Styela clava: one gene and its partner. The protein of the gene in region 1 interacts with the protein of each later gene in a pairwise test. Links are inferred from orthologs where the notes say so. Each region holds a gene or a part of one and is shown in the gene's direction. Other genes may lie near its edges. The genes, in order: large ribosomal subunit protein uL10-like and large ribosomal subunit protein P1-like.

The links.
Region 2: the proteins of large ribosomal subunit protein uL10-like (region 1) and large ribosomal subunit protein P1-like interact in binary tests that used the Drosophila melanogaster proteins (3 or more experiments, as listed by UniProt). The link is inferred for Styela clava from reciprocal best matches to the Drosophila melanogaster genes RpLP0 and RpLP1.

Annotation. Positions count from the first base shown.
Region 1 is NC_135261.1:12,848,916-12,861,351, forward strand, and holds the start of large ribosomal subunit protein uL10-like, read left to right. Parts: upstream 1-6,843; 5' UTR 6,844-6,875; intron 6,876-7,051; 5' UTR 7,052-7,103; coding exon 7,104-7,157; intron 7,158-12,436. Other genes in the region: uncharacterized protein LOC120330259, read right to left, coding at 2,060-2,107, 2,176-2,343, 2,678-2,814, 3,426-3,558, 4,011-4,171, 4,731-4,842. UniProt on the Drosophila melanogaster protein: Ribosomal protein P0 is the functional equivalent of E.coli protein L10.
Region 2 is NC_135255.1:4,032,823-4,045,258, forward strand, and holds large ribosomal subunit protein P1-like, read left to right. Parts: upstream 1-5,488; 5' UTR 5,489-5,622; coding exon 5,623-5,694; intron 5,695-6,542; coding exon 6,543-6,617; intron 6,618-7,398; coding exon 7,399-7,510; intron 7,511-7,875; coding exon 7,876-7,949; 3' UTR 7,950-7,954; intron 7,955-8,097; 3' UTR 8,098-8,559; downstream 8,560-12,436. Other genes in the region: translation initiation factor eIF2B subunit beta-like, read left to right, coding at 55-233, 902-1,103. UniProt on the Drosophila melanogaster protein: Plays an important role in the elongation step of protein synthesis.

The DNA of each region.
Region 1 (12,436 bases):
GAACTTCGCGAGTAATTAGGGGCGTATCACACTGAAAAGGGAGACCAAAAAGCCACCAAGTTTCGTAATATATATTGGGTTGCAAAATTAGCGTACATGGCGTCGATTTTTGATCGTTTTAATCAAGTGAACGTCAGCCTTGAAGGGCAAAGAGGTGATATATTTCGATGAACTAGCGAAATCAATGCTCTGAAGATGAAACTTCAACTCTGGAAAAACAATGCTTCTTCACGAAACTTCATTGACTTTCCTCTTTTAAATCAATATTTGAAAGAGTCTGGGTGGGAGTTTGAGGACGTTTCAACGATATATACCATGTCTACCCTAATTGTTGGTCATTTGAACGTACTGGGTGATAAATTTGCTTTGTACTTTCCCTAAGATAATAACAGACGCCTGGAAGAAAACTCGTGGATAATGCAGCCATTTACTAGTGAACCAACAGAAGACGAAGAATTGTTGGATCTCCGGGAGAATTTAAATCAAAAAATTTCATTCCGCGAAATGGATTACTCGGGAGTTCTGGGTTTCTCTTTTTAAATTTGCCGATCACAAAAATCTGGCAGAAAAGGCCGTTGCTCTCCTGGTACAAATGCCTACGACTTATTTGTGTGAAGAAGGGGATTCCAGTCTTGTTGAAATTAAGTCGAAAAAGCGAAACTCAATACTTGATATTGATTGAGCAATTGAAAAGGAACTTAAACCCTGTTATGAACAAATTGCCGAAACTATACAAGAACAAAGAAGCCACTGGAACTAAATTAACATTGTCTTTACTTTTTTTACACATTTGGATGTTAAATTAATTGCATCTGTGAGTAAAAACTAAAAGAAGCATTTATAAGGACTAGCCCCGCCACCTAGATTTTAGTTTTTTTCAATATGTGCCTAACGTTTAATGTTCATTTTAGCTTGAAATAAACATTGGTATTTGTAAGGTATACGAAGTTCTCGAAAAATTGTAAAAGGTATACCACGGTGAAAAGGTTGAAGAACACTGATATAGACAAAATATAGATAAAAGGACGCGACAGGACCGTGAAAGTAACATTACGACAATCGGAGTAAACTACCTAATTCACCCACGAAAAATCATAACTCTGCATCTACATAAATCACTCATTATATCATCACGTAATATGGTAATAATATGGTATACCGATAATATGGTATCTTGCCATAACAAATATGGGAACAATTACGCGCGTCATCAGATCACTACGAATTAGGCTTGGCACAACGCGAGTCAAGGTGGATCAGTTTATGATACGTTTATTTCAACTGCACAATCAGCAATAAAACGATATAGTATATATATGAAACTGAGATGATAAAATAATTGAATAATTCAATAATGAGTCCTAGTAGCCTATCGGCATATCTGTGTCGAGTAAACGTTCGAGATACATGCGCATGGGTAGCGTAAGAAAATGTGACCATGCCAATTCCATGGTGCTATGCGGTCTACCGTTGCTCTGTACTTATGACAATGCTTTGTTGGCATAACCTGGCGCATCTCAGCGGTCTTGATCCCGTCATGGTTTCGTTGGGAAATAGTCAAAGGCGGAACTGTTGGTCTGTTAATTTTTCTCAAGGTTGGAATTATACATTTATGACCATTATTAACTCACGTGCTTCGATTAAATCGAGACAAGTTAAATTTTAAACTGATTCCACTGAATAGCTGATTCCTTCGCCATTATTGCTTGGGTAGGTTTTGTTGTTTACCAAAATGACATAAGATTCGATATTAGATTTAAACCTTTTTCGATTACTAATGTGCCATCAAAGCATTCAATACGACGCTTCATGGTAACAGACGGGGCTATAAATGAAACATATTATTTTCTGTACTACCGAGCTTATCCAATATTCTCCAACTCGGCAATTTCAACTGTTTTTTAATACAATAAAGCTACAACATTCATCATTTCGTCCCGCTATTTCTTTTGCTCACAAAGAGATCAGAAATGAAATTAAGATAGACATGATTTTCCATGTGAAGTTAGGAATCGAGCAAAATTGTTGACAATGCCAAAGATTCACGTTAAATAATGTTTCAGACCATCGTTGATTTATCCGCAAACATCCTTTTCACGGCACGAATCTGAAATAAAGATAGAATTTCTAGTTTTCACCGAGGGAAAAGAATAAATAGTCAGATAAAATAAATACCTGAAATGCACAAATCGTCAGTATGAGTAAGACCGACAAAGCAGAAAAATTGTTGATCATATTAAGATTGGATGTTGTTGTTAAAAAATCGTAACGAATCGATGATCTCACTTCCACGGTATCAGTTCTTATTCGTCCAAGCCTTCTGATTATGCGGTATATTTTATCCTAAATTTAAAAAAGATATCATCGAGAATAGTGTACTGGAATATTATACTTCAATGACATTCATTAAACAACGTATTGTGTATATATAAGTTCATATTAGTTCAAGCATTCTGGTTATACGGTATATTTTGTTCTGAATTCAAAAAGGAAAATTGATGATAATTATTATACAACGTAAATTATGAGTGGAATGAATTTATAATAAAACAATTTTTACATACAAAAAATTTTCAACTCTCAAGTTTCAGAATATAGGTATGAATTTAGTCCTGGTTTTGAAATTTACATTAGTGACATGGTACTCCAAGAAGTATTGCACGACGTTTGTACTTACAGCCATACTCAGAGTACTTTCATCATTCACAGTTTTGCGGAATGCTCTCACATATCCAAATCGATATATATCCAAGGATATTTGTGTAAGTATGAGACTGTTTGATTCCATGTTGACAAAACAGATCCCGTATGTTGCTGTAACAAAAGTCATTGGTTATCATTATTTTTTAGCAATATCATAATTTTATAAAAAATTAGATCGTTTATTGAGAAGTTGAATATTACACATTCATTATTCGAACATGAGTAGGCATATTATGCGCACCCCAAAAACCCTTGTCACCGAACAATGAAATAGTAAAATCAGTCATTATCACTCCTAAGCACGTTGACTATGAATATTTTTATTTTAATTTCTTAGCGAGGATTTTAAACATACAATATGGATTTGGACAAAAGAAAACGGAACAAATGTTGGGAAAACACTAAGAAACACATGTACCTCTTGTGCATGGTATAAATTTTACACTATAGTAAGTATATAAATATATTCATATGAATCTACATATACAGTATATACAAATACAGTATACATATACAGTATATACAAATGGATTATACTGTGAAAATATAAATATTGCACTCACACTTGAATACATACAAATTTAATTTAATACACAACCATACCTTTGTTGAAATCATCGATTGATTTTATAATGCTTTTAAATACCCATGTGATAATTTTTATGTGAGGGTGCCCAATGCGCGTAGCATTTGAGCGATTGTCCTGGTAGTGTAATACAGACCCTGTTTGTCTGCAAACATCTCGAAATGACCCCTTCTCACGCTGTTCGTGTTGTTGATTATTGTTCCATCCTCTAAAATATACAGAAAAGCTGATATTTTCCCATCTGAAGTAAATGTCGATGGCGATAAAGCCTGAAATGTTGGAAAAAAGACACGTCAATACAAATCGGATGTGTTGCATTAGAACCCTTGCATGCACTATTCTCTTTTCATTTGTTTACTATTTGCTTTGAAAAATAACTGATTACAGAACATTATTATTACTGACAATACATCGGGGGTTCCTGTATTTATTACGTATATCCATCTCTTGAATATTTTTGCATTACTGCAGTGTCTCCAAAATGTCGTGTCCCACTTGTACCACGTGTCCCGCGTGTCCCACTTGTTACACGTGTCCCGTGTCCCACTTCTCCGGGACAAGTGGGACACGTTGTACAAGTGGGGCAAGTGGGACACGTGTTACAAGTGAGACAAGTGGGACACGTGGTACAAGGGGGGCAGGTAGGACACGTGAGACAAGTGGGAAACGACATTTTGGAGACACCTTGTTAGGCTCTCTCATTATATAAAATAAGACATACCTGGAAATTAAAAATTAACTCTGTCGAGTTTTCAACTTCTTGCATGAAGCACTCTGCTTTATCTTGGTTGATCATTACTCTGAAATCGTACGCAGTGTGTGGCTTATCATCTGCCAAATCCCCGACAAAATGAATATATTTCTTAACCGAATCTCTCACTTCTGCCGCATAAAGAAAGAACAGATGAATGAAAAGTATAAACCAATGGTAAGTTTTTATTCAACTAATATTAATTTGAAAGAGCCAGAGCAATCAATACATATAAGGTATAGTAAATGCGCCGCAATTTGGAAAGCACGCGAATAACCAATTTAAAGCGTTTTAGCAGGGTTAAATGATCGAATACTTAATGTCGTGACTTACTGCAGCAGTTCCATGAGTCCATGATTCATTAAAAATAATTTTATTTGAATTCCAAATAGATGAAATAAAAATTTAATGCTTTAAGCATGTACAAATGTGGTGCTTCCGTGGCCAAGCGGTTAGAAAATTCAGACTGAAAACTATGACTTCATTCTACTTATTCAGTTTTGTAAACTTGGTCGTATTATTTTACTTTTATATATATTTGAATATATTCGCACACTGAATTTTTTATTTACAAACTACGACAATTACAAACAACAGCTAGACCTAGGTTGCAGCCATCTTTTACATATATCCAAATTATCATGGAGTGAAAAATATAGTAAAAAAAAAACATGAAAAATACCACTTTACCTTTGATCTGCAGTCTATCAGGCCGCATTGCTTGAATCTTCGGATAATGGAAGCAAACGAGTACATAGGCTAGAATAAAACAGCGGCCGTGTTTACTTATGTGACAGCTCATTTTATATGATTCCAATCATCACACAAAAATCACTTCAGTATTTTGGTGAAAAGACGAAAAGTAAGACGCTCTAAAAATGAAGAAAAAATAGTTCTATTGCCGTATTCCAGAACCCTTGGATCCCTACACCTTCCTATAACACCTATGCTTACGTGTCGTAATTAAACGGCTAACCACGGAAAGCTTATATATATATATATATATATATTTCGTGAAACTAAACGAATGCATTTTTTTTTTTTGTAATACAATGTACTCAACGAATGTACGCTTACTTAGTGCAGCTTTCTCGTATTTCCTGTAATTGAATTGTTTCCTTTTGTGATGTTAGAATTCGTAGAATTTTTACCGACGACTATGCAGAATAAATTAATGACGACTCAAATGTGCTTGTTCATAACTATGCCACAGTGTCATAATAAGAATAATACTATAGCATGCTCAATATGTTTATACAATATAGTTTTATGAAGTTTTAGCATCGATCAATTGATCTATGCACTGCCCAACTGTGTCATGCCCACCAGCAACAAAAAATTATATTTTCTACCCCAATATTTCTCAAGCAGTGTTGACATGTCACGTATATATAGCCATTATAAATAAATTTTTATAAAATAACTTTTATGCCTCACCAATTTCAGCGAAAGTTGATATTGAAGTTAGCGGGGAGATAATTGGCCCAGAACTACAGTAAGCTCTTTTCAATTTTTCAGTTGTGGAAATGAAATTCTGCTTAAATTTTTGTTTTTCATACATAAGAAACGATTCTTTATATACAAAGGGTTACAAACAAAGTCGAACATTTCTCTGTTTTCTGTGTTTCCGCTTAATATCTGATTAAATCTAATTTAAAATAATCTAATCGGGTTACAATTTGTATCTTCAGAGTTATTATTACATGTGAAAACATAATCCCATTTAAAGACTATGTTTTAATTATCCCAGAGGCCAAGCGCTATAGTGATTAGTTATCACTACACATAGATTGTTTGTAGATTGATCTTGTTTATGTATTATAACCCCAGCATTGACTGACAATAGTTTTGTCTTGCATTCGTCAACTCGAACGTCTCCTTACTACAGCCGAAGGCTATCGACAGATAGACAGTTCGAGTTGACAAATACAAGACAAAACTATTGTCAGTCAATGCTGGGGTTATAATACATAAACCAGATCAATCTACAAACAATCTATGTGTAGTGATAACTAATCACTATAGCGCGACCACGGCATCTGAAACTCGATTCCCAGGCGTAGTGTACACAATTGTAGTTTTATACGGGCTCTGATTTCATGATATCCCGTTTTTTTCATACGTTGTTATCAGTACTCAAACGTGTTGAGGGTTAATTCATCGTGGTGAGCTTCAGTTTAAGGGCAGTGGTTCTCAACGGTGGGGCGTAGACAATGTTTTGAGAGGACGTGAAGCTATTTAAAAATTAAAATATTGGTTTGATTGCTTTATATTGAATATTTACATTTCTTATTTTGTCAGCTGAAAACAACTGTAGTAATAAAAATAACAACAATTTTGCGTGTTTTCAAAACTTTTAATTTATTTCATTATTTAATGTCATTGGTTCCATCGACGTATTTTCAACGTGTTTTTTGAATAAAACATACTTTCACCTTACTATCTGTTATTTGTAGCTTATTGTCAGCTAGGTATTTTTGAAGTGGGGCGCGAGACTTGGGTAAATTCTAAAAGGGGGCGCGGCTCAGAAAGTTTGAGAACCATTGGTTTAGTGGTTTGCGGTTCGATTCTCGGGGGTGATGTATATTTTCGATATTGTTCTGGCAGTATTCACAGGGTTGTCATGTTACTGCTGACCGACTTTTTCTGTCGTCTAATACCACAATATAAGACCCAACATATATGCAATATCGATATAATGCTAAAAAACCTGCGCAATCTCTATCCGTAAATAAATACTAATTCGCTCAAACTCTAAGTCAGTGAAGCGTGGAAATGATTTAGTTGAAAACTGTCACGTGTCTGCGATCGGTCCTTTCTCGCCTGACCGTCGAGGTTGGTTGTCGTCTTTTTCTAATCTATTATAATCGATTGATCATGAACCGTTTTCGCATAAAAATAGTGATGTTCTTTTTACATATATTTACAAGTTCTAGGAAAGACAAGATATGTCATCTTTTTTTATGCTACGAGATGTACGTTGATGCAATATCATGAGTTTGTTTCTTCAGATCCTCGCTTTGTCTTTAAAACTCCAAACGGAAATCCTTGAGCACAACCAAGATGCCCAGGGAAGACAGAGCAACATGGAAGTCGAACTACTTCTTAAAAATGATTGTAAGTGATTTAATATGTTTTATGAAGTTCTTGTGTACAGTTGAAAGATACTAGGTACCGTATTTATTCAATTATAACGCGCACTCGTGTACCAGTCTGGATTTCATGGCCTTTTTGAACGAGAAATCGGGCGTGCAATCAGAAATTCCCGCGTGCAAATAAGAATTCCTGGCGTGCAATTATAGCTCACGACGTGCAAAACAACTGCACTCGCGTGCAACTGACTTTGACATCAGATACCTCTCAATACATCCGCGTAAAATTACCGGTATCGGATAAAAAATACGTTGAATCAGAGAAAAAATGGACGTTTGACCTTTGACCCCAAACATTATTTCTACAGTTTGTCGCTAATTTTGAGAGTGTTTGTGCGACTTTGGATACCGGTACTGTTCAGTACATCCGCGTAAAATTATTGGATAAAAAATACGTTGAACCAGAGCAAAATGGACATACATTGTCATTAATTTTGGTAGTGTTTTTACGCAGAATTAATGGATAAAAAATACGTCAAATTAGAGCAAAATGGACGTTTGACCTTTAACCCCAAACATTATTTTCATACTTTGTTACTAATTTTGGGAGTGTTTGAGCAACTTTAGATACCGGTACTGTTCAGTACATTCGTGTAAAATTATTGTATGAAAAATACGCTGAATCAGAGCCGTATTTGGCCATTGGTGCGGAGGCGATCTTTTCGTCCATAACTATTCTCACGGGATTCCTACTTCCTATCATTCAACACGATATGGACCTTTCCCCGAGCATCGACTTCCTTGTTTACTTCGTGACATTGGCCAATCAGCAAGATGCAAAAAAGGACGTAACAATGAGAGGAATTTTTCGCGGGTCAAAGGTTGGGGAAAGGTCCATGGTCTTTTTGCTTCGCAATATTTCGATCAGACCAAATCTTGCAAGCTGGTATTTGTCGACAATTGTGGAGTTATAATATTTTGGCATCTTTATATTACTGGATTATTGATTTTAAAACCATTTAAACCGATTTACATTGGTGAGCAATTGCAAATTTTCGGCGTGCAAAATTGATTTCGCTCGCGTGCATTTTTGCGGAGCGCTAGCGCCCTCGGGCGTGCACCTGCCATGGAATCCAGTCTGGCTCGTGTATAACGCGCACCTTTAAATTTTGAATGAAAATTGGTATAAAATTCTTTTTTTTATTTTTTCTCTTCTAACTACTGGTAAGCACATAAGGTAACAACTCACAGCATGAACAAAAATTTATTAAAAGCACACAGTAATTCAAAACTCTTCAAAATCGGATTCAGTCTCTGATTCACCAAACAACTGTTCGATTTCTGTTTGGGTTATGTTTAAATCAGTGCAGAACGTTTTTGTCTTGCCATAATAGATAATGGGTAATATATAATGGGTATCTACAGTACAGTACGATAATGGCAAATAAATATTCTCAACGCAGCAGGAATGTCAAACGCATGCTGAGCTGTCGCATGTGCGTGTGCTTGCACGAAATCGAACGCTTGCACGAATGTCAAACGCACGCTGAGCTGTCGCATGTGCGTGTGCTTGCACGAAATCGTCCTGCATTGGAATGTGCATGCGCGAGCGCACGCACGTTTCAGATGTTTAAAACCACATTTTCAATACCGCATTTCTCAGACCTCGTGTATAACGCGCAGCATTGATTTTTGCCAAAAATTCAGTTCAAAATTTTGCGCGTTATAATCGAATAAATACGGTATATATATATTTATTCATTTTAGTGCCAATACTTGGCATAAGCGAGGTAAATTCTGAAAATTGCATGGGTTTTGGTAACTTCTTTAATGAGGCGCAGTTCTTACCACTTCATGGCAGCTCCTGCCACAAACAGACCACGCCGTCTCCCGCCATGGTTTTATGGCGCTATTACCGGTATATTTACAAATTCATGTACCATATTTTAGTTTATCATGCGGAATTAGGGTCTGGTACAGGTATAGTTTTGTAACACATGCACTTCTAGTTGGCCTGGCTCAACAACTTTTGCATATGTCAGTACGGCACACTTTACAGATCGAGAGACAATCTCTTGTTTTAGAGAAACCTATTTTAACGGTGATCGAATATCCCTCCTTCGATGGACGTCTGGCGGATTTTGTCTCCCGATATCGATAAATTGAAGCTGCGCAGTAAACTAACAAAAAGCGCAATCTAAAACCATCACCATTGAATTCCTCGTGAAAATATATTCAGATCTACCGATGTAAAAAAAATTTTACCGGTGCGTTCGAGAGAAATGAGCAAAAAACGATTGACGGCGTGTGACGTCACTGAATTTCAATCGACGCACGCAGGCACGCATCGGCCGTTCCTCGACGTAAACCTTGGCGTGCCGTGTTTCTCTCATTTTCAATGTAGATAGGATGGCGTGTTAACGATAATAAATGGATTACATTTTGATAACACACAATCGATAAACAGTAAAATTAATGCCTCGATATAGCATTAGATGAATTAGTTCATAAAGTAATAATTTAATCTAATGCCGCAACGAGACATTCATATGCCGCAAAATGTGCAACTTGCGTAATTTATACAAGAATAGATCGGCGAAAAACGAGAATCAAATTAGCAAAATAACTTAATATAATGCCACATCGATGTATTCATATGCCGCAAATGTTCAGTTTGCATAATTTATACTAGTATAGATCGGTAAAAAACAAGATTCAAAATAATATAATGTGCCATCGATACATTCATATGCCGCAAATGTTTAACTTCGAAAGTTACGGTATACGAGAATAATTTAATTCAATGCCACATCGAGGCATTCATTTGCCACAAATGTTAACTCTTTTGTTCCGTATAACTTATATATTCGTATTACCATCCTTGGTCATAATAGTTATTTTCGGACTATTTTACGTTTATGTTCATGTTTTGTGAAGTATTCCGCACTAACTAAATCATTTTGAGCATCCAACTATGATCCGTGCTTGATCTGTCAACATTTTGTTTTTTTGTAAATTTTTTATTTTACTACTAAGTGAATTTTATTTGTGTAGGCATTTCAAAGCTTAGAGATACACGAAAGTATTTGTCATTACTTCAAAAATAAGTCATTTGAACGAGCGGGAAACAATTTCGCGCACATAATAAACAAACAAAGATTCCAGACAACTATCGTGGACATGCTCTCACATATCATTGATTATTTCGCGTTTCGCTTCGCTTGCGAAGCTGAGTCTGGTTTTTCTGCAAAGGTGACGTAACCCTCTTTCAGAAGAGCGCTTGGAATTTCGTTTCTTTGTAACACGTGTTCATCGAAGCGATAAGAGTGTGAAACGTTCTCTCAAAATTTTTTGAAATTTCTCTCTTCTTACACGCGTAGGGTCGAACAGTTTCGCCTACGTCATTTGGGCGCGTTTTAGTAGGAAGACGCGAAAATAAGCTTTTTAAAGAGATATTGGGGGTGTTCCTTGTACGTTTGGTTAACTGGTCATTGCATATTATAAAATGGTACATAAAGTCGATTGTATACAGCGGAAAAAAAGGGTTAATCTATACGAAAATAATTTAATTCATATGCCGCAAATGATCAACTTGCGTAATTTACACAATAATAGATCGGCAAGAAACAAGAATCAAATTAGCAAAATAATGTAATATCATGCCGCATCGATGTATTCATATGCCGCAAATGTTCAATTTGCGTAATTTATACTAGTATAGATCGATGAAAAACAAGATTCAAACTAATATAATGCGGCATCGATACATTCATATGTCGCGAATGTTTAACTTCGAAGTATACGGAATACGAGAATATTTTAATTCAATGCCACGTCGAGGCAATCATATACCGCAAATGTTAATTTGCGGGATTTATGCAAGAATAGATAGGTGAAAAACAAGAATCAAATTAATATAATGCCGCATTGATGCATTCGTATGCCGCAAATGATCAACTTGTGTAGTCTGTGAAAAACAAGAATCAATTTGGCAAAATAGTTTAATCCAATTAATCATCGAGGCTTTTATTTTACTATAGATTGTTGACGCTCAAATTTAAATAAAAATCTCGAATATAATTATTAAATGATATCGTAATTCGTAATCGTTGTGCGTTCTGGAAGTTTCAGTTCTAAATAACCGAAGATGCTATGTTAAATTGTTGTAATTACAGGTATTAACGGGCATACAAAGTTTCACTATCGATATTAATTTAACTATTGAAAAAAAAACTTCGATATCGTGCATCGTTTTGACTTCGTTATACGACAATTCAAACGATGTCATGTAGTCACAAACACTTATAATAAAATTAGTTGGACTCGTAGACGTATTAATCGAAACGCATAATTTTGTAATCTCTTGATATTATTTAAAAGTAATTATTTATTCACAGACGTTTGCATTTACGCGACATTATTTTAATTAGGCACTACCAACAGTAGACTGAATATAATGATTCAGAAATACATCGTATATTTAACCATATAGGTCAGTATACATCGGTAAGAAACGAAAATCAAATTAGCAAAATTCGAGAGCCGTGCCGAACTGTGCGTGACTTTCTTTGACGTCATATCCAGACATCTGACGTTCTCACGCATCGAGCTCGCAGACAACTCGACGCCCCCGGTTTCACAGACGCCTATTCATATTTTGGCTCTTCCGGAATGTAGACGCAAATCCGGATTCGGGATAGTGTGCCGTACTGTATGTGTTACCGTAAAAGCAGCTACCTTCGGATGATTTCACTTTATTTTAATCGATAACTCTGCCGTTTCAAACTTGAAATATATTACATTGATGTAATTCTCTGCATTTGCATATAATTTTCTCTAGGATCGGATTATTTTTTCTGTCTTAATTGTCTCATTTTTCGTCATCTGTAACGACACAAATAAATATCTAACTTCGGATGGGTGTATCCCCTCCCTGCGTCACCGCAACTAGAGCGAAAAGTGCGTGCGTGAAGACAAAACACGCTTTACGTCGTTGCGTGAATGCCAGATGTTCAATCGACGTTGCGAGTGACGATGACGACCGTGGGATTTCCGGAGTGGCACTTTCAAGTTGTTTTTATACTAAAATGTCTCGTTTTATTTTCTCTTATCGTAACTTTAGATCCGATCATAGTCGATTTTGTTGTAGCCGATAATGTTTCGATAGCGTTTTTACACTCCACACCATGTATAGTCGCACAATAAATATAATTGAGCATGCACATGACTGGATTCTTTATTAAACTTGACCTACTTAAATGGCGGTCGTGCATAAATCACGACAAAACACCAATTTGGCAATTG
Region 2 (12,436 bases), on another chromosome or scaffold:
AAGGAATGACATCTTGCTTAATTTCTAATTTTGTCACTTTAAACATCACAACAGGTTATCATAGGAACCCATTCTATACTTGCCAATGGAGGTTTAAAAGCTGTGGTCGGAACTCGTCTAGTTGCACTAGCGGCCAAACGCCATGCAGTACCGTTAATTGTTCTGGCAGCAATGTATAAACTTTGTCCCATGCATTATGCTGACAGCGCTGGGAAAGATGCCATGTTCAACAGGTAAGTGTCATCATTTTTGCCTTTGTAGTTTTGTTTATTAGTATAATATTGGATTGGCAGATGAAAGTAATCCCAAACTGTTACCAAAGAGAAATGATGAATAGTTGCGTAACTGGTGATTACCAAGTAACACTGAAGATGGGATTAAATATCTTCTTGACTAAAATAGTTAACAAAGCCTGCTTGTCCTCCCAGGTGGAGGAAGATCACTTTGAGATAAAGATAAGTTACGACGATCTTTTCGCAAAGAAATAATTCAACTTACATTAATTACAATATTTCAAAGATGTAGGATAGGCAAGGCCTCTTCGTCGTAAAGCACACCATTTTCATCTTGATAAAATCCCAAGTATGCCAGTGTGAAGACGAACACTTGTAGGATTTTCATGTTCATCGCGGGGACGAGGAAGAGCGGATAAGACGACCTCATTCATTATTGCCTTTAGACATTTGTTGTGTATATGGACATGGACTTAGTGGTGGAGAAAGCCGTAACAGACCAGCGCGTATGTGAACCACCCTACAGCAGCAATCCTCTCACACATAATTATTCTTCACAGGATGCGAACCCACGTACGGTAATCAGAGGTGCAATCGTGACGTATAACGCTTAGCTCCTAAGAGAGCATCAACTCAGACCGCAATGTAATTCCTATTTTTAATTTCAGGCTCACTTCGCCGCAAGCTGTGTTGGATTATGGTATAGCTGGAAGCAATGAACTATGTGGTGTTCAAGTATATTCACCAATGTTTGATTATGTTCCACCTGAACTAGTGACACTTTTCATATCAAATATTGGTGGTAATGCGCCTTCTTACATGTACAGATTATTAAGTGAACTTTATCATCCTGATGATCACGAGTTGTGACAATTTTGCAAGGTGAATCTCTTCATCAGGGTTATGGGAACTTGAGTTCAGGAGTAGTTCAAGTTTGGGTAGATGCTCAGAAACGAGAATAATGTATTTTGTTAAAGAAGAAATGACGAATTGGTGCAATATAATTTTAAAAATATACTTGTATTTCTGAAAATCAATTAGTCCTTTTGAAAACCCGAAGAGGCGAGCTTGCGCAAGATTTGCACTCTGCTAATTTTGTTGTTTTTCATCGGCATGGCGTGGTAAATTCGCCCATCGACAATTTTGTCGGCAATCTGTATTCCGCCAGTCCTTCCCTTTTCACATTCTACAAAGTACTGGACGTCCTTCTCCATGAGGACAACCAAAATAATATTTTTTCTCACGCAACTATACTTTCGAAAAAACGCGTTTTATGTAATTTTTGAGGTGATGTATTGATGTTTCCATTGACTACATTGGAGATTTCAATGAACTTCAATTTAGGATAGGATTCACATATTTATCCCGGGAAGAGGAAAGCCGGTATGACGGCCTAATCATATGGCAAACCACGGCTTCCCGTCCAGTTTTAAAATAATGATGATATAATTCAAAATCTTCATATTTGTGAACGAAAATTTGCTTGCGTGTAACAAATATTTTACGTGCGTGTCTTCCGAGTTTCCATGATAATATCGGTTCCTCGTCTGCGCTCTAATAATGATAAATAAAATCATCATTGCAGCAAACAAATTAACAGTGCTACTTCCAAGCGCCTAAAGTTTTTGGAAGAGATTTCGTCAATCCACTCTTATGTTATTACTTACGATACCGATTTCCAGCCAAACCAGATGTTTTTTGTGCACGTAGTCAGAGGTCGAAACTATTTTGCCTCTTTTTTAGAAGTAATAGCAGTTTGCTGTTCGAATATCTAGTAGAACGTGACCTGGACACGGCACGGCACGCCAGTTGCGCGTCGCTCCTTCAAAGACTTGGATTTCATAACGCACTCGTGAACCACTTCTGGCGACCACAGAGAATCTGCACCACTTGTTACCAACAATCAAAGACGCTTATTCAATATTATATTTGCGTTATTGTATTTGTTTATTCATTTTCGGTGACTATGATATTGTTTAATTTTTAAATGAGCATAGCGTGTGCCAATGTTTCGTGAATTTAATTACTTTTCAGTGGGCGATTTGTACAATTCGAATCGCCAATATATATGAGTATTTGGAAAAGTAATATTACAAAGATTTCCAAACGAATACATTAAGTTGAATTTGTAAAAATCCCAGTAATTAAGTCAATTTTTTGACGTCGTTGACGGATGGCTATAAGGGAAATCGGAGCCGACACGAAAGATAGCAATCACAATGAAATTAATTTTTAAATTTGGGTTGCAAATTCGTTTATATATATATATATATATATGCGCAGCGTTCATCGCCGATCATCGCACAATATCTTTCGAGTTCGTCGAACAGAAAGCGCAGTAGGCAACTGCGAGAAATATAATAATCGAGAAATATATAATATCAATGACCTAATACATATATATATTTAGATAACCGGAACAATCAATCCAAAATCACGAAACATACTTGAGCCTAGATATAAAGCTGAAAACCCAAAAAATCTGCTCCCAAACTCCTTTACAGCGCTCGTCACAGAAAACAGTCTGGTGGGCCGCGGGTTGGGCAGCCTCTGTCAGGAGTCTCCTGAAGCTACTGATTTGCCACTTCCACCATCTGGAAACATATTTCCTACGTTGCATTTATAGTTTATAGGAGGAACCGATGAATTGTTGGCAGGGCGTCTTCGCGTAGGGAACTTCACTATGCCATAGCTTAGGGAAAGGTGGACAGTTTATAATAGGGTAAGTAATCACATTCGGTCCGAGCATCGACACTAATCTGTGGGTCGTCCAAATTCACTGCTATTTGAAGCGTCGACAGCTTCCGCCTGGAAAGTCTCAAAAGTATATATATGTATAACAGATTGGTGATAAAGCAGGAGTGAAATGTGGGTCAAAATATCCTCGCCGTCGTCCCGCATTGTCCTCTAGCACAAATTTAAACGGTGTCAGAATACCAACGAAAAACATTGGATTTCGCTTCATTTAAAATGTTACTCATATTTACGCTATTATTTCGTATTTTGCCCGTTTGGAAACTAAAACCATATTCTACACTTTTCGTCAGCTTGTGCGTGAACTTCGATATTATGTCGTTGATTTCTATTTCCGCAAATTCTCCCCGTCTCACAAATATCTCTCTGCACATCGTGTGGACATTGACAAATAATGTTTTTCTCGTCTGGAACTGAGCGTCCATTGTAAAAAACTCGTTATTATGCAATCATCAGAGACGAGAAGATGACCAAAGATGTGAATCCTCAACTCAAATTTCCGACTGAAGACACGGGAGTGATTACTGTGAGTCAATGTTCCCTCTAATTTTTGTAGTATGTGTGCGCAGAAATTTTGGTGTGTGCGCACTTTTTTGGAAATGGAAATCCCAACCTGCAATCGAGAACATTGTTACATTACATCCAAATACGTCTGTGCGCAGTAAATCTATGCGTGTGCGCAGCCTCTGAAAGCTGTGTGCGCGCGCACACCTTAGAGGGAACACTGACTGTGACCAAGGCGGTTCTGTAAAATACTACAAATTGAACGAAAAACAACATACTTTTCGACCTGACTTTCTTGATTTGAAAGCAAAGGGCACGATTAAACCACAAAACTCATAAAGTCGGTATCGATCAAGGAAAAAGGGTATCGAAACAAGCATAGCATATACAAAGGGCAAAACATTAAACCACTAACACAATTAAAACAGTGGAATGCAATCAGTTCCCCACAGACCCAGAACTCTCACTGATAATTAATAGAATGGGATAATAAAGCCTAATGAAGTAAAAAAGCGGGAAAGAGAAAATTAGGACGAAAACTCGGTAAAAAAAAATATTTGTCACAGTAAATTAATAATAAAAGGATTGTCGAATAGAATACTGGATGATCAAACGGTAACAACAAAATATCAAAATATATTGCCATGTTGATATACATGCATTCTATTACTTGTGTTCAAAGTAGTCGCGATTCCGTTATATAGATAAAGCAAAGAAATACTAACACTCTACTAACTAACCGTCTACGCCAGCAAGCTAACAAGTCACCCAACCTAGACTACCAAAACAAAAGACAGACTTGCTTGAAAAAGTTTAATAGAATGGCGATGAATATTTGAATCCGCGCTCCTTGCTTTGTTGTTTTCAGGTAAATAGTGGAACGATAAGTTGGGAAAGTAACGGCTATCACCAATTACACAAAAGGATGCAGCAATGAAACTTGGAACCACCAGACGCGCCATTGCAAATGAAAGTCCAAAACTGTCCACACGTCACAGCGAAGCAAAATACAGCACTTTCCCGTGCTGACACGAAAAGCCCGACACATAATGACATAAAATGACCGTTTTCCCCGAAAATAACACTAGGGCTTACTTTGGGGAGATTTGTTCTATTTTTATTTATCAAAAACAAAATTACAAAGTAGAAAATCACGAAATTTTAAATTATACAAAATATTATTTCTTGCTATCGACTACGTCAGAAAAAATATTTCGCGCCATCGAATACCGGTAGGTCTTATTTTGTTCAAGGGGCGGGCTTATATTAAAATCATTTATAAAAATCAGGCTAACTCTTAATTTATGATTTGGCTTACAAGTGAATGGAATCTGCACTCGAAAATGACAAATCGGCTATTCCGTGGACTTGACCGCCGGTGTATATGTAAACTTCAAGACATATAAAATAAAATTTATTTAGATACAGTAGTCGTCATAGTGTAAATACATACTACTAGGGTCATAGCAGTCGAGAAAATGCCTAATAAAAATACAAATTGTCAGTTTTTAGTTGTATTTCCGAAAATAAGGAATTAATTAATTAACTCAAGTATGATTTTGTTTTTAAAGGATCTCAGTAAGCCGTAAATATATACTGCAGACTGCAAGTAATCAAAAATGAGTCCCTCGGCCGCGTTAGACTAAACTCAAATTATCCACCGGTAGGTACTTTATGTGGTAGAATGTTTTGAATTAAAATAATGGTTTGAACATGTAAACCAGGTTGGGAACGCGAAATCACGGAAGTAGTTTCGAAAAATTTTGTTAAGTATAGAAAGAATTTTTTGGGGTCAAGGGTCGGGGAAACTTATATCAATCACGGCAGTTATCATATCATTTGTATGCTATTATGCTTATACAGTATATATATCATGTTTCCCCCCGCAGAATATTCTATATATTCGATTGGTTCTGAATAAAATGGTTAAAACACCCGCCTTCAAATCAACCTCATTGAATCACATCATGGTTGAATGGTTAAGTCACGTGGTCGTAGTTCGGTCTTTCTTTACGGTGTTATTGCTGTTGAAGGTGCTCTGTTCTCTTTTGGGCTAAGGTCGATTTATATCGGCGACGTGCATCGTTCATTTTGACCATCGATTCTTGAATCTCACACATACACTTTTACTATGACGTCTACTTCAGAACTTGCATGCGTTTACGCTGCTTTGATCCTCACAGATGATGAAATTGAAATAACCGTGAGCAGTTTTTTTTATATATCTCAATTTTCTTGGTATGATTTGTAACCGTTAAGGAGATCAGGACACGTTGATGTTGGGTGTTCCTGACAATGCCGGGTGTATACCTCAGTCTGCCAAGAGCAGGGAATGTTAAGTTTGGTATTATTCAGAATCCCAGTGTTCATAGCAATCATGGACTAATTTCTGAATTGAGGCATGTTTGCAAAGTCCATAAATGGCTCATCCTACAGTCTGATAGTCCTAAAATAATAATGGTCAGTGCTTCAAGCTAATTCGCTACTGATTGCTGCATTAGGCAGTTAGGGCACAGTTTTCAGATTTCAAGAATAGCACCCACAATAAAAGACTTTAATTATAAAATTGGATGCAAACCCCTCCTTTACAAGATAGTCTGGGCCTCTATTTGCAAACCGGCACTGCACAATACACTAGAAGAAATAATCCCAAGATACCAGAATGAAAAAAAATTTACCATAACATTCGAAAGTTTTTAGCAAAAAGATGAAATTTTGGTCATGTGACAGCCACAATTAATTTCCGATTACAGGATTATAATCGGGACAAGCCAGACTGGATTTCGTTGCAACTGCACACCTGAGTATACTAGTACTCCCTGAAAATGCATGCAAGCGAAATCCATTTTGCACGTTGGAAAATTTGTGATTATTTACCATTATATCTGACAGTCTGAAGGGTGGTTGAATGAAATGGCCACCAATAAACAGTACTGACGAGTTCTAACATTACAAATATACTAGGAATATGTGGGTTAACTTAAGTTCATTAATAGGCCTTATAATATTTGTTTTGTTACAGACTATTTTAATCTATTATTTTATCTACAGGCTGACAAAATCACCACTCTTACCAGTGCTGCCAATGTAACAGTGGAGTCATATTGGCCCGGCCTTTTTGCAAAAGTATGTTGGATGCAATTTTTATTTCTAATTTTAATTTATTGGTTGCAATGATGAAAACTTAAGCGCAAGCGATGTCTCAAATGAAGATAATCCTATCCCACTGAGCAACCACGATTTAATGAAAACAGCAGCTAATGGGGCTTACTAAACTTAAAGCAGAACAGATCACATATACAGGGAGTCCTCGACTTACGACGCAGTTCCGTTCCTGAGACTCGGTGTAACCCGAATTTCAGTGTAAGTCGGAACGTACAGTGGTACAGTGCATGAATTACTCTATACACATCGTACTGTATTGTAAAGTATGGTACTGTACACTAATGAAATGTACAAATAATGCGAATGAGAACTTTATTAGAAAAACATAAAACAATTCCATATCACGTGAATAAAAGCAAACCTTGATGCACTAACATCAGTATCATCTTTTTTTTGCTTTGAGTCCATAACAAAGCGCGAAAGTAAAAAAAAAACGATCAAACAAGTTACGAAAAAACTGACCTAAACAACCAAAATGACTTACAGTATCACTGAAACTGTGTACAGTACTACATCACTGGAACTGTGTACAGCGACCGTTGTAACCCTAGGACTCCCTGTATTTAAGGTGCATTCTTCGCTCACATGACTATGGCATTGGTTTCTCAATTTAGAAAGTAGTTGGAAGTGTTTATACGGTAGCAACTTTTTGTATATTTCTACAATTGATAATTTCATTTCGAGTCGCTATGGAAAAAAGGTTCATTAACACATTTTAATTTTTTCAATGGTGGATTTTCAGGCTCTTGACGGTATTGATGTGAAATCACTGATCAGTAATGTTGGTGCTGGAGGTGGAGGTGCAGCGGCAGGTGGTGGAGGTGCTGCAGCGGCAGAGGGCGGTGCTGAGGAAGGTAAGACAAATTCCATACAAATTTTTCTAGCTAATTTTTTTTTCAAGTCTAGATGCAAAACGAAAATTATAACTAATGAAATGGAACAATAATACTACATTTGTAATTATTGTGACATTAGCCAATGAAATATATGGTATTCTTTGTTATTAAAAGAGAGTGATTTACTAATGCTTTCACATGAAATTCATTTCAAACCAAAAGTGAAGGTAAAAGGATGTGGTTGCTATGATGACACCCTAAAGCGCAAACAGATTTTATGTGAAGATATTCCTATCCCACTGAGCAACCTAATAATAAATCTTTTCTTTGGGTACATGAATTATCAAATTTGTGCTCCAACTGATAACCAATTCATATTTTAGCTAAAGTGGAAGAAAAGAAAGAAGAGTCTGAAGAAGAATCCGATGATGACATGGGATTCGGACTGTTTGATTAAATAATGTATGTATCTCTGATGTGCCATTAAGTTCAAATTTGCTGTTTATTTTTTTATTCACTAGCATAATATCATCACCATTCCGAAGATAGTTATCCCCAAAAAATGAGGTCTGTCCAAATAAGCCAGTTCGCTCAAACTTATTCAGGTTATCTCATATAAGAAACCGCGATTCTTATTTCCATTTCTCATTTATTGGTTGCAATGATGAAAATTTAAGCGCAAGCGATGTCTCAAATGAAGATAATCCTATCCCACTGAGCAACCAGGATTTAATGAAAACAGCAGCTAATGGGGTTAGTTATTGTTTGCTGTACCCTTAAGTTTGAATTTGCTAGCATAATATAATCACCATACCGAAGCCAGTTATTCCCAAAAAATGTGGCCTGTCCTAAAAAGCCAGTTCGTTCAAATTTACTCAAGGGTATTCAATATATGAAACGGTACATGGACAGCAGACATTTAAGTTTTGTTGTAGAAATAAGTGATTAAAATCACCATGCTCTTGATTAATAATGTTTGCAATTGCAAACTTGAACGTAGAGCTTTGATATAATTTGTATTCTCGTTTTTTCCAGAACTGAAGAAATAAAAGAATCGACAGCGCAAATATGTTGCATTTTGTTATGGCAGGTATAGATTTATTGGTAGAAGCTATGGCAGCTGTTGTATGTTGGAATTAGCGATAAAGGTACAGGTCTTCATGATAACGTATATCAGACAGATTACCATGGTCCAGTTCAGGATTAGTTTGTGGACTGTCTAGTCCAGTGTTTCCCAACCTTTATCCGCCCACGTACCATCTCGGGATTTGGTGTAGTGCTCGCGTACCACCTACACAAATAATGCGCGCGAAAAGCTATTTCTCACCGTTTGTGACGTCATAATAACGTATTTGATTCATGCAAAATGTAACAACAAATTCTATTAAACTAGGCCGCATCAGCCAAGATTGATGTGGTGCATGTTATTGTTTTTCCGCCACTATTCAAAAGAAGAGCAACATAGTGAAATGACAAAACAATCCTTTTAATATGATGGCTGCATTTGTTTATTTTCTACGAGCTGGTCGATGCGTGGCATACATTTGCTCACAGCTAATCGGAAGTCATGCATTGGCTCAAGGAGTCTGTTTCGTTTCTTAGATTTGATAGTCGTAAGGGATGAAAACTCTTGCTCTCACTCCCACGTCGAAGGGAAAATTAACAGCTGGGGAATAGCGCGAGAAGCAAGCGTCACATATGAGGAAGCCATGCTAAGCCAGAAGTTGATTGCGAGAACATTCTTTGTGTTTCGTCTTTGCAGTCTGGTCAGCCTGGATATCTATGAGCTCCTCTTGCTCGACAGGCAGGTCGGCTGGATCAATAGAAAATGGATCGGTTATGTAGGCACAACATATAACATCCGGAAAGTAATGCCTCAATTCGGCATTGAGCAGTGACGGGTGATCAACGATTTCGTGGGAGACTTCATCATCGGGCGCGCTGGGAAGGGTTGTCACGGATGTAAACATTCCATATTGCTTGCTTTCTACGTTATTTTTCCAGAGGTCCAACTTCCGGACAAGCGCTCTCAGTTTTGAATGAACTCTACGATAGTACAGTTTGGTCCTTGAAATGACAAATTTAAACGGTTGATGGTTTCAAAAATGTATGCCAAGTAAGTCAACCTTATGACAAATCCCTCATCCTCCAGATCTTTCTGAAACTCGTGATCTTTCTCCCGTAAAAACGCAAGTAGTTTGTTCCTCTATTGAAAAATACGTTTTGTTGTATTTCCCCTGGAGAGCCAGCGCACTTCTGTGTGATAGAGAAGACAAGTGTGATCGGAACCGAGATCTTCACAGATCAGCTTAAACAGGCGACTATTTAGAGCTGACGCTTTAACAAAATTTACAATTTTAATAATTCGGTTCAAGTACGATAACAACTTCGGTGGAAGTATCTTGGCGCTAAGGGCGAATCTGTGTATAAAACAGTGTACACCGGTGACGTTTGGTGACACGGCTCTCACATGGGCTTGAAACCCAGACTTTCGACCAAGCATGGCCGGAGCCCCATCTGTCGTGCATCCGATTAGTTTGAGCCAATCCAGTCCATTCAGCTTGAAGAAATTGTCTAGAACAGTGATTCCCAAAGTGGGCGATATTTTTGCATCTTGCTGATTGGCCAAGTAAACAAGGAAGTCTTTGCCAGGGGAAACATCCAAACGGCGGTTTTAACGATGAATTAATTTTATTTATCATCTACGCTCGAGGAGTAAATTACATTTCTTTTTACGTAACAGAATTTATCGTGAGACACGTTTAGACTAAATTTTATTATATTCTAAAAATTATATTGAACAGCTAGCTACTCGTTTAAATAGCCTACAATTTAATTATAATTAGACAAATGGAAACGCGCAGAAAAGTTGATGCTGAGTGCAGGGGTTCAATAGCGCAGTAAATATTCGGATATGTTGCAATGCAATAAGGAAATCAAATTCATATTCTATTCGAGAGATTCATCACTGCTTAATTTTTGTAAGAATGCGATCCGCAAAAGAATAGCAATCATAATATTGTCCCGCGAGCGACTTAAAATTTACCGACCCCATAAGCCATCCGGGTCCACGAATCCAAAACAAATGGCTGCTCAATTCTATGGACTGGCTGTGCCGCAGAGAAGGTCATGAGAGTATTCACTATATTGTGAATAAATTAGTTATTTATGCTAAATTTGCTTTTCTCAGAACAAAATAAAGCCCTCACAATCGAAGAAAACATGATGCTCCCAGTATATCATGATAGGAGATCAAGAAGATGACACACACTTGTACCTGAGCAACGTCACGCAAGGACTTACTATATATATGTACAGTATTTAAATATGGGTAATATAGTGAGATTAAACGCTGAGGGGAAAGGAGCACAAGTTGATACACCAACTATAGTTCTAACTGAGCTTAATTGAGACGAAAAATAAGTGGTTGGAGAAGTTGACGTAGCTAGCCTGGCTTACGAAAAAAGTTTTTCACCAGGATAACATTCAGTCGGTGGGAAAACGTTCTGGTGATCGGACTGGAGGACGTGGTAGGATGAGGCGTGGGGGATGAATTTTACCGAAGACCCTATATATATCATGTATTTTGGTGAAGGTCGTCAGGCTGCAGGGATGAATGACATGTACCTAAATCATTATTATAAGTTTTGAAAAATTAATTTTGTTTTCATTATTTTAATGTGAAACGGGGTGGATTTAGGGAGTTAAATGTTATAAGGCAAGAATACACGGCGGTTTTTGAGGAGGTAGAACCCTGGATTCTTTCATATCCGACCTCTGATATGGTGAAAAGAGAGTTTTCAGCCGTGACACTATTGCTATCAAAACAACTAAATTGCCTTTCCATCAGTAAACGGGGTAATTTTAGATATAATAAAAAAACTCGTCGAAGAACACCAAGATCGTCCATCTCATTAAAAAACACTATAAACCAGGGGTTCCCAAACTTTATTAGCCGCGGGCCAAAATTAGAATCGAAAGCATGTTCACGGGCCGAAAGTGCGCTGCGGTTTAGCTGGGATTTAGTAGATTCACATTGGACACATTTTTGAAACTTGTGTGTTTGACTCGTAATGAAGTTAAATGTTGTATTCCTTCAGAACTAGAATAGTTCGCTGGCAAAGAGGACAAATCGCTGAAGTCTGAGTCATAGTCTAGGTCAGGGCTACTCGACTACCGGTATGACAATGTTTCAGTTGTGTAACTTAGCGCCGACTTGCTGGGATGATTACAAATATTCGACCCCATAGCACCCGTGAATATATGTATATATTTATAGGTCTTCCGGCGACTTATATTATTTTTATGACTGAAAATTTAGAATTTTTTTTTTTAAATAATATTAAGGTAAGCCACAACGTTCACGAGAATTTTAGCATGACGTTTCATTAATCAATTTCGTGTCCAATAGCAAAGTTATCCGTCAATCGTTAGTCTGGAAAATTACATTTCAATCTTGGCTCTAAGAAGTGAGAGTATACTATTTTGCAAAATCGGGTTATTTGTTCTAATTTTAAATTTCAAAAATACAACTAGAAACTGACAAATGAGTACAAAGCCAAAACACAGTCTAATCGTAAATATATACTACTACGGGTCTAATATGTACCAACTTTTCTAAAAATCTTTGAAAAGTGTATTTTTTTCTCGTTGTTTAGCGAAAATGCATTACATCACGATTGTGGAATAAAAAGAAACGATGCATTCCAACCGGTACGTATATTTGAGATACAGCTATAATCGAATTGCTATGATAAACACGAGCTTAGACTGCGATGATGACATAACAATTGGCGGTATCTAGTTTGCAAAAAGGTAGAAACAAAATCTTCACTTAAGCACGGCGGGCCATTTTAAATCGTTACGCGGGCCGGATTTGGCCCGCGGTTTGGGAACCCCTGCTATAAACTATGATTTGTCCTCTTATTTGGTCTGTAATATATT